2 linked regions of the Saccharomyces cerevisiae S288C genome follow. The protein of the gene in region 2 interacts with the protein of the main gene of each other region in a biochemical or structural test. Each region holds a gene or a part of one and is shown on either strand. Other genes may lie near its edges.

What was found. The genes of interacting proteins can lie anywhere in the genome.
Region 1: the proteins of RTK1 (region 2) and SET4 form a complex in vitro, tested with the Saccharomyces cerevisiae proteins (one large-scale study listed by BioGRID).

What each region holds. Positions count from the first base shown.
Region 1 is NC_001142.9:223,142-227,254, reverse strand, and holds SET4 (Set4p), read right to left. Parts: upstream 2,201-4,113; coding exon 518-2,200; downstream 1-517. Other genes in the region: protein kinase IME2, read right to left, coding at 3,928-4,113. UniProt on the Saccharomyces cerevisiae protein: Putative chromatin regulator.
Region 2 is NC_001136.10:404,835-409,047, reverse strand, and holds RTK1 (putative serine/threonine protein kinase RTK1), read left to right. Parts: upstream 1-1,841; coding exon 1,842-3,704; downstream 3,705-4,213. Other genes in the region: putative acid phosphatase DIA3, read left to right, coding at 1-597; MRX9 (Mrx9p), read left to right, coding at 4,091-4,213. UniProt on the Saccharomyces cerevisiae protein: Probable serine/threonine-protein kinase that may be involved in ribosome biogenesis.

The sequences.
Region 1 (4,113 bases), on a different chromosome or scaffold from region 2:
GAAATATGTGAATCGGATGCAAATGAGTTATAAGTTGAAGCTTCAAAATTTGCTACGTGAAAAATGATAAACGATGATGAAGTAAATAAATATCGTAAAACGAAAAACTCTCTTTTAAAAAATTCATATGTAGGAATTTCATTTGATAAGAACCTCACTCTTCATATCAAATAAGTCATTAACCTGCCATGAAATGAATTATGGAAACAATGCAGCTTTTTGAAAGGAAAAGTGCGGTGGATTTTAACGTTAAGGATCCTCTCAACTAATGATTGATGCTTAATCGTGGCATCTATAAATAAAGCATGAATTGTTCTCTATAGTTACAAAGTGGTGATTTATTATAAAAGTGTTTTGATATTCACGCTTTCAACATTAAAGCTAAAAACAAAAGAAAAAAAATGAAGACCAATGCGAAAAAAAATACCAAGATTGAAGTTTTGGAAGAAAAATTATGATGATAAAATTAAGCTTTCAAAAAAGATTAAAATGAATACTATTAATTTTAAAATTTCGTTTATGGCTTACAGTTGTGCATTATTGTATTAAAGTAAGATTTATTAGATAGGGATTCCTTCGTATTCCTCATGAATTCTTCAGAAAAGTTTTTGATTTTAGTTATTGGACAATTATGGCCCAAGTACCCACATGCACAATCACAATTTGTTAAAATAGTCTTTATTGACCCCATCAACCAGAACTTGTCGGGATCCGGTAGGGAATCCAAATCTTTAGATGCATTTATTATCTCCCAAATAGGATTTCTCAAATCCCATTGCCATTCTACGCTTATCTCTTCTCCCTTACGAATATCTCTTATAGCCCTTAAAACAAATTTAACTCTACAATCATTATCTCCTCTTGGTTTTTCGTCAAGCGGTCTTACCGTTACTAGTTCCACATTGGGCTCACAACTCCGTCTTATGTATCTTGTTAATCCGCCTGTTTCTCGAGAGTCTATATATAAAGGCCAATGTGGATGAAAAAGTACTTTAGGTTTTGTCGTTCCCATCAAACGATAGTCATTATTTGGATCTGTCTGATAATTTTTTTGAAAATCAATTTTGCCCAAATATTCTTGAATTAGCTCACCTTTAACACAAGAATCTGCAGCGAAGACTCCAAAATCTCTTTCATTTGATGATTTTCTTACCTCGATGTCAGCTGACCTTGAGCTTTCCCAGTTAGAACAAACAACCCAATCGTCATCATAATGGTTATCAATAAACATCTTAACATATTTGTCCTTATACTCTGATATTGTTATTGCTTTGAATTCCGTGTCATTGGAAGAACTTACCTCATTCAGTAGTGGCTTCAGAAAGTGGCTTGATACTACCAGTTTTTCTTGCCTCAATTTTTTCCGTATACTATTGCTATTTTCAGTTGTTGGGGCGGTATAATGAAGTTGACGTTTCTTGGGCTGTTCCTCTATGTTATTCACAGACTGTTGATGCTGATTTGTGTTCGATGCTGAAGTTGTCACTATGGATGAAAATTGAAATAATCGCTCATCTCCCATTTTTCTAGGGAATATCATTGGTTTTACTTGATTAACCTGCACTTTCGTATCACTGTCACATCTTTTGCAAACAAAATCTCTTTTTATTGGATCTGATTTTTTGAAAGCATAACATAACTTGTGCTGCCACGTTTTACATTTGTTACACTGTATAAACAACTCATCCTTGGAGTCACTTGAACCGCAGATGCAACCATTTTTAGGTTTGTTATCTTCTGCTCTCATGGAGGGTGTAATTTTATTTTCTTTCGATGATTCATTGTGTGTTACCGAGACCTTGGAATTATCATCTTGATTCTGTTTTTTCAGTGGAAATGGTATGGTGGCAGCAGTTGCCAATGCTACTGCTGCTGCTATTCCTCTTTTATTTGTTGATGCCGTTTTTGATGAGCCTGATGAAGAATGATGGTTGAAAATGCCCCTGTCATTTTGAAATAAATGTAAAGGCGTTGGGCCAGCTGTAGGCATTGTATTGAATGTCCTTATCGGCATATACTGAGGTGAGGGTAATGTCTCTGAAGCTGCACTGCTGACGGACAAGGGTGTGTGATCGCCGTAATCTTTAGACATTGAACTATTAGATGAGTACGACGACGACCGCGATATGACCTTGTCTGTGGTTGTGTATGTCCTTCCTTGCCTGATATGACGAGAAGATAGTGATTCCGGTGAAGTCATTTTGAAGATGAAGCGGTATTTGTAACTTTCTGACGAGGGTACCAATCTTATTCCGGCGTTCCACGCTGAAATTATCTATGCTTTTGTCTTAAAGAGAAGCAAACAAGTAATTTGAATCAGATATATTTCCCTCCTTTCCTTTTCAATAAAAAGTGATGAGATGGCCTATTGATATCAAGCTATGAATAGGGTAGCCACCTTTTATACAAAGTTTCTTAGATGTGTATAGCCGTGCAATACCAAAATCGAGGTTCCTTATATACTTCCTAGTACTATCCAAGAACAATAATAAGGTTTCCTGAAGGAAAAAGAGGTGGTTATTGATCACCAGAAAGTTTGGCATTAAAAACAAACGACAGCACAAAGGAACTTTCACCCTACAGCACCTTCTGTGTGCATGATTACATGTACCCGAGTAGCGAAAAAAGCCAGAAAATGTGCAAGAATAAAGGTATCTCAATGAACGAGCTCGAGCGTCAAGAGACGGGTATAAGCGAAGAAGCGCAATGCCGCCAGCCAAGCAAAGCCAAACGAAGAGATCGACCTTCCATGGGGTCGCAACTTTTCCCGGTGACCTCTACATGTGTGATTGTTAGTTCAGCGTAACAGAGTTTCAACAACATGCATATACGAGTGTGCCTTCGTGCCTGATTTTGGTTGATTATCCGGCTTCCAACCTCGTTAAATTTTCATAAAGTGCATATCGTGTAATGTAAAAAGTAAAAAGATAAAAAAGACTCATATGAAATCTTGCTGCATGGAGACAAGTGCACTCGAATTCTTTACTTATATTTTCGCTCTTGAGCTCGTCCTTTTACTAGCATATCAATATCCGTTTCATTGAAAAGTGGCCTTAGAAACGCGGACACATTAGTCTCGTATGTCGGCTCTCGCCTACTTCTTGCCTATTGTTTCAGTGCCTTTAAACCTTATTTCCCTTCCCTCGCGTGCCATTCGGCGATCTCGATTTTCCGCAAGGGGCCTCAAACGACCGACATCAAAAACCAAAACAAAGGCCAAGCACATCGTTTAGAGAAGAAATTTTGGGGGTAATATGTTTTAACGATGCCATATATGCACCAACTTCTAGGGGAAAGAATGCTTTTGACTATCTCTCCTTCCTTGCATATAGGCCAGATTTTTCCTTGGATTGTGCTGTATTACTATTGGCTCCAAGGAACCTCACAGTGAGCTTTTCCAAACCGAAAGATTTCTCTTGCGATTTCTTCGTATGCAGTAATAGGGTTTTTTGAGAATATACCGGGCATAATGTTGCAGTTATCAACTATCGCACATACAGTAGTAACAGTTCTGGTTGTCCTAGCATTAATGCCGTTTTAATTTTCTGCAGAGTATTGCCTGTGGACAACAGTAACTTATACGAATAAACATACCAAGTTAGGATCTGAGCCGGGTAACCGAACACAAAGATCTCGTTCTACTTTTTTTGACCTCTTGATGAGTTGCTTAACAAAATCAGTAGCCGCCAAGAGCAAGAAATCATAAAATGTTCAAGAAAAACAAACATAAAAATATATTGGAGGGGAATAAACGCAAAGTAATGTCTAATAAGTTAAATTAAAGCCATCGAAAAAGCACTGTATTAATAGAGCAGTAGCTATTTAGGTGAATGCATAGTAATATAATATATATGCGAACATATGTATGTCTATGTGTATATAACTATATAACTGTGCCTAACGATTCGTCAGTCAAATGACAAATTATTAGAAGGTTACATTTCCAAAATGTTGGTTTGAATTGGATAGATGAGGCTCGAACTTTTCCCGTGATTTTTTTAATGTAGGTATCAAGAAATTTCTTGGAGTAAAATCTGGCATTGAATTAAACGAATCGCCTAAAGAGGCATCACCCAAAACATTATCACCTCTATGATGTGACCTATCTGTATG
Region 2 (4,213 bases):
AAAGGTTATAGTAACATTTGTGACATTTTCTCCGCGGCAGAGTTAATACATTATTCTTATGAGACTGATTTGACGAGCTTCTACCAAAATGGTCCCGGATACAAATTGATTAAATCTATAGGTGCTAATTTGTTCAATGCAACAGTGAAGCTAATACGACAAAGTGCGCACTTGGACCAAAAAGTTTGGCTGAGCTTTACGCACGATACTGATATTCTAAATTATTTGACAACTGCTGGATTGATTGATGACACTAGAAATTTAACAACCAATCATGTTCCCTTTCGTGATCATTCCTACCACAGGTCGTGGTACATTCCTCAGGGAGCTAGAGTCTACACAGAAAAGTTTCAATGCTCAAACGATTCGTACGTCCGTTATGTGGTCAACGATGCTGTGGTTCCTATAGAGAGTTGCTCCAGTGGTCCAGGTTTTTCATGTGAAGAGGGCACATTTTACGAGTATGCCAAAGACAGATTACGAGGTGTGAGCTTCTATGAAGATTGCGACGTCTCCAAAGTTAGCAAAGAAAAGGAATTGACGTTTTACTGGGATTGGAACACAACAAGGTATAACGCATCCTTAGTGAATCAATAAGCCATGCATGGGCAGAAATAAAAAAAAATAGGAAATTGTCTTTACATAACATGGTCACAAAGTAATATTCCGCATCGTTCTTCCTTCAGCAAACCGAAGGGGAGCGAATTGAGCCTTCAAGCTACATCTAAAAGAGATTCCACTAACAAGTTCTGCGGTTATTACATATTTTTGTACTACAGAGAATTTAATTGCACCCGCTTTATCACCCTCGTTATTTATATTCTTTTCTGGAATATTTAGATATGCGTCATTTGATTATTGTTGTTTTTTTTTTTTGTTTTTTTACTTTCATTACATCGCTAAATATAATATAAAAGAGATGAACGGCTATTCTTTCTGAATATCGAAAGTTAAAACTCGGATAGAAAATTCACAAGAACATAAAAGAAAACTTCCGGATTTCAAAGGCGGTTCTGGTATTGGGAAACTTCCACAACATATCTCAAATTCAAACTGAAAAGTCCTCAGTGTCTTTTATTCGAAACTCCGGGAAAGCACTGCTTGAATGGATTAAGTAAACTTGAAATAAATTTTTTACTTCTACAGCTAAAATGTGAAATATAGTGTCCGCTTCCACCAAAGGCGTTTATTTTCTCGAAATGAACCTGTGAATAACACAGCTGGCTCCAACTCAAACACTCAACTGCGTCATTTCTTATTCGCTTTCCAAATCATGCATGATTTTTCTTTCTCTTGCCTGCAGTGCTCGTTTCACCGCTCGCGTACTCGTCCATTCTTTGTCAGCGAAGAGGCTCTAACAGTGGAGAGCACATCTGGCAAGTAAAATGATAGGTTGCGCAAGGGGGTAGGGGAATGACTAATAAAGCATTACTACCATCATACCAAGTTCCCATTCATGTACACATAGTCTCTTTAATTGCCTTCTTGAATGGAGGCCAGTAGATATTTGGAGAAGCTTTTCTTGCAGTTCGGGTAATATCGAACGGCGTACATCTATAAGGGGAAAAGCTACTTCCGCTTCTCATATATCTATTTTGCAGTGTGACTCTTCCTGGCTTGCTAAGTATTGTACCTGTTATGGGGCAAGCAAGATTTCTCATTGAAAAAAGATATAATACTTATTTGCAGCCAATAGTGACGGATTCTAGTGTTCTTCTTTTCCATAAGTTGATTACGCTATTCACCCAAACTGACTCTTTAGTGCGCTAATAAGCTGAGAGGATTTGAGAGGGAAAAAAAGAGAGAAGGACAGAAAAGAGCAGCCTGAAATTCATAGCATAATGGTTAAGGAAACTCCATTACACTCATCTTCATCAACTTCGCTGTCTTCATTATTTAGGCCAACTAAGTTGAAGAATTTATCGGCTAAAATATTCAATGGAGGTGGTAACCAATCATACTCAAAGACAGATGATGTTTCAAGGTCTTCTTCTAGATCTTCAAAAAAGAATACAGATTCTGACCAAGAGGATCAAATAAAGTATAACAAACCCAACGACCGAAGATCTACCATAGGAAAGAGCCCCCAGGGAAATGGCGCGTTGTCAAAGGAGTCACACGTAGTAGCAAGTTCTACTTTGACAGGTATTTCTCCTACTTCAGCTAAAAAAGCTCCTATTGACTACTCTCCTTCACGGCCCTTACCTAACAATCATAATCCCGTTCGTACGGGACACACTGTGCCCCACTTACCCCATAGTATTCACAATCCAATAAACTACATTCATCAAGGCTCAAAAGATGCTTTCCACCATCCTCACCCCGTTCGCTCTACAGCTCATAGCAACATTTCTACAGTGTCTTCTGCAAAATCTGATACACCCTCTTCGAATTTATCATACCAGGCACATATGCATCCCGTAGAGATACTACAGAAACAGATTGAAGACAAACACTTCATGGACTCTCAAGCCTCCACCCCTGGGTCCGTGGAACTACAGCATAATTCTTCAAGCGGTAGTGATGATACCTCATCAAGAAAGAAAAAATCCTTGAGATTAACAAGATTTTTCAAAAAAATTCATAATGATTATCACGATAACCATCATCATCACCACCATCACAACCGTGGATCCACCCCTACAAAACCGAAGCTCAATTTGAACACCAATGAAAATATAGTAGAAAGTAACGGAAAAGCGTTATACGAAACAGATAACCCAGTGGAGCTATTAGAAAAATATGGTATTCCTGGTAGAAAATTAGGCGAAGGAGCTTCCGGTTCAGTGTCCGTAGTAGAAAGAACAGACGGCAAGTTATTTGCTTGCAAAATGTTCAGAAAACCACACTTAAACAATGAAGGAACTAATCAGTCTCAATTAGCTAATTATTCTAAGAAGGTTACCACTGAATTTTGTATTGGTTCCACGCTGCACCACGAAAATATCGTTGAAACCCTAGATATGTTGACTGAAGGTGACACCTATTTATTAGTAATGGAGTATGCGCCATATGATTTTTTTAATCTCGTCATGAGTAACCTAATGACACAAGATGAAGTCAACTGTTACTTCAAGCAGCTGTGCCACGGCGTTAATTACCTGCACTCTATGGGCTTAGCTCATAGGGATTTAAAATTGGACAATTGTGTCGTCACTAAAGATGGCATCTTGAAACTGATTGACTTTGGGAGCGCTGTAGTGTTCCAATACCCTTACGAAGATACCATTGTAAAATCACATGGAATCGTGGGTTCTGACCCTTATTTGGCTCCTGAGTTATTGAAACAAACATCCTACGATCCAAGAGTAGCAGATGTGTGGTCTATCGCTATTATATTTTACTGTATGGTCCTTAAAAGATTTCCTTGGAAGGCTCCAAAAAAGAGCTTCAACTCATTTAGGTTATTTACTGAGGAACCTGAGGACGAAGATGATATAGTTCGGGGGCCAAATAAAATATTAAGGCTACTGCCAAGACATTCACGGACAATAATAGGCAGAATGTTGGCTTTAGAACCAAAGCAAAGAGTTTTAATGAATGACGTGGTAAAGGATGATTGGCTTGTATCCGTCCCCTCCTGTGAAGTTGACCCTACATCTGGCGATTTGGTTGAAAAACCAAAGAATCATAAGCATCACTTGGTCACTGAGGAGGAGTTGAATGAGCTGACCAAGCAACACGGGAATAAAGATTCAAATTAATGAAATAAACACTTTTTAAAAGATAAAACCTAAAAAATTGTATATAGAAGATTCAAAGTACTATAAAAGGCATTATATAGGAATAAAAGATGGTGTGCATACAGGTGAAAAAGAAAACTAGTTAAATCTGGAAAAAAAAAACGCTCATATATATACAAAAACATAAATACATTCGTCAAAACAAAAAGCGCTTAAATAAATAAAAGCATTTTTTAGATAATCTCAACGGGCGCCAAATTGAAGTCACCCGACGCATAAAATTGTGAACACGCCCTATTAGATTTTACAAAGAGGAAGTCTCCTCCCCTATAAACTGCAAAGAATAATTGAAAAGTGATTTAGCGCAGATAAATAAGACCACCATAACCACATATGAGTAGGAAAAAATGTTCAAAGTTCCAGTGGGATTAGCCAGTAGGACAAGGGAGCTTATGAACAGCGTTACGCTCAATAGTCTCAATAATGGAAAGGGTTTCAATATGTACTTGCCAGGAATATTAAGGGCTTTT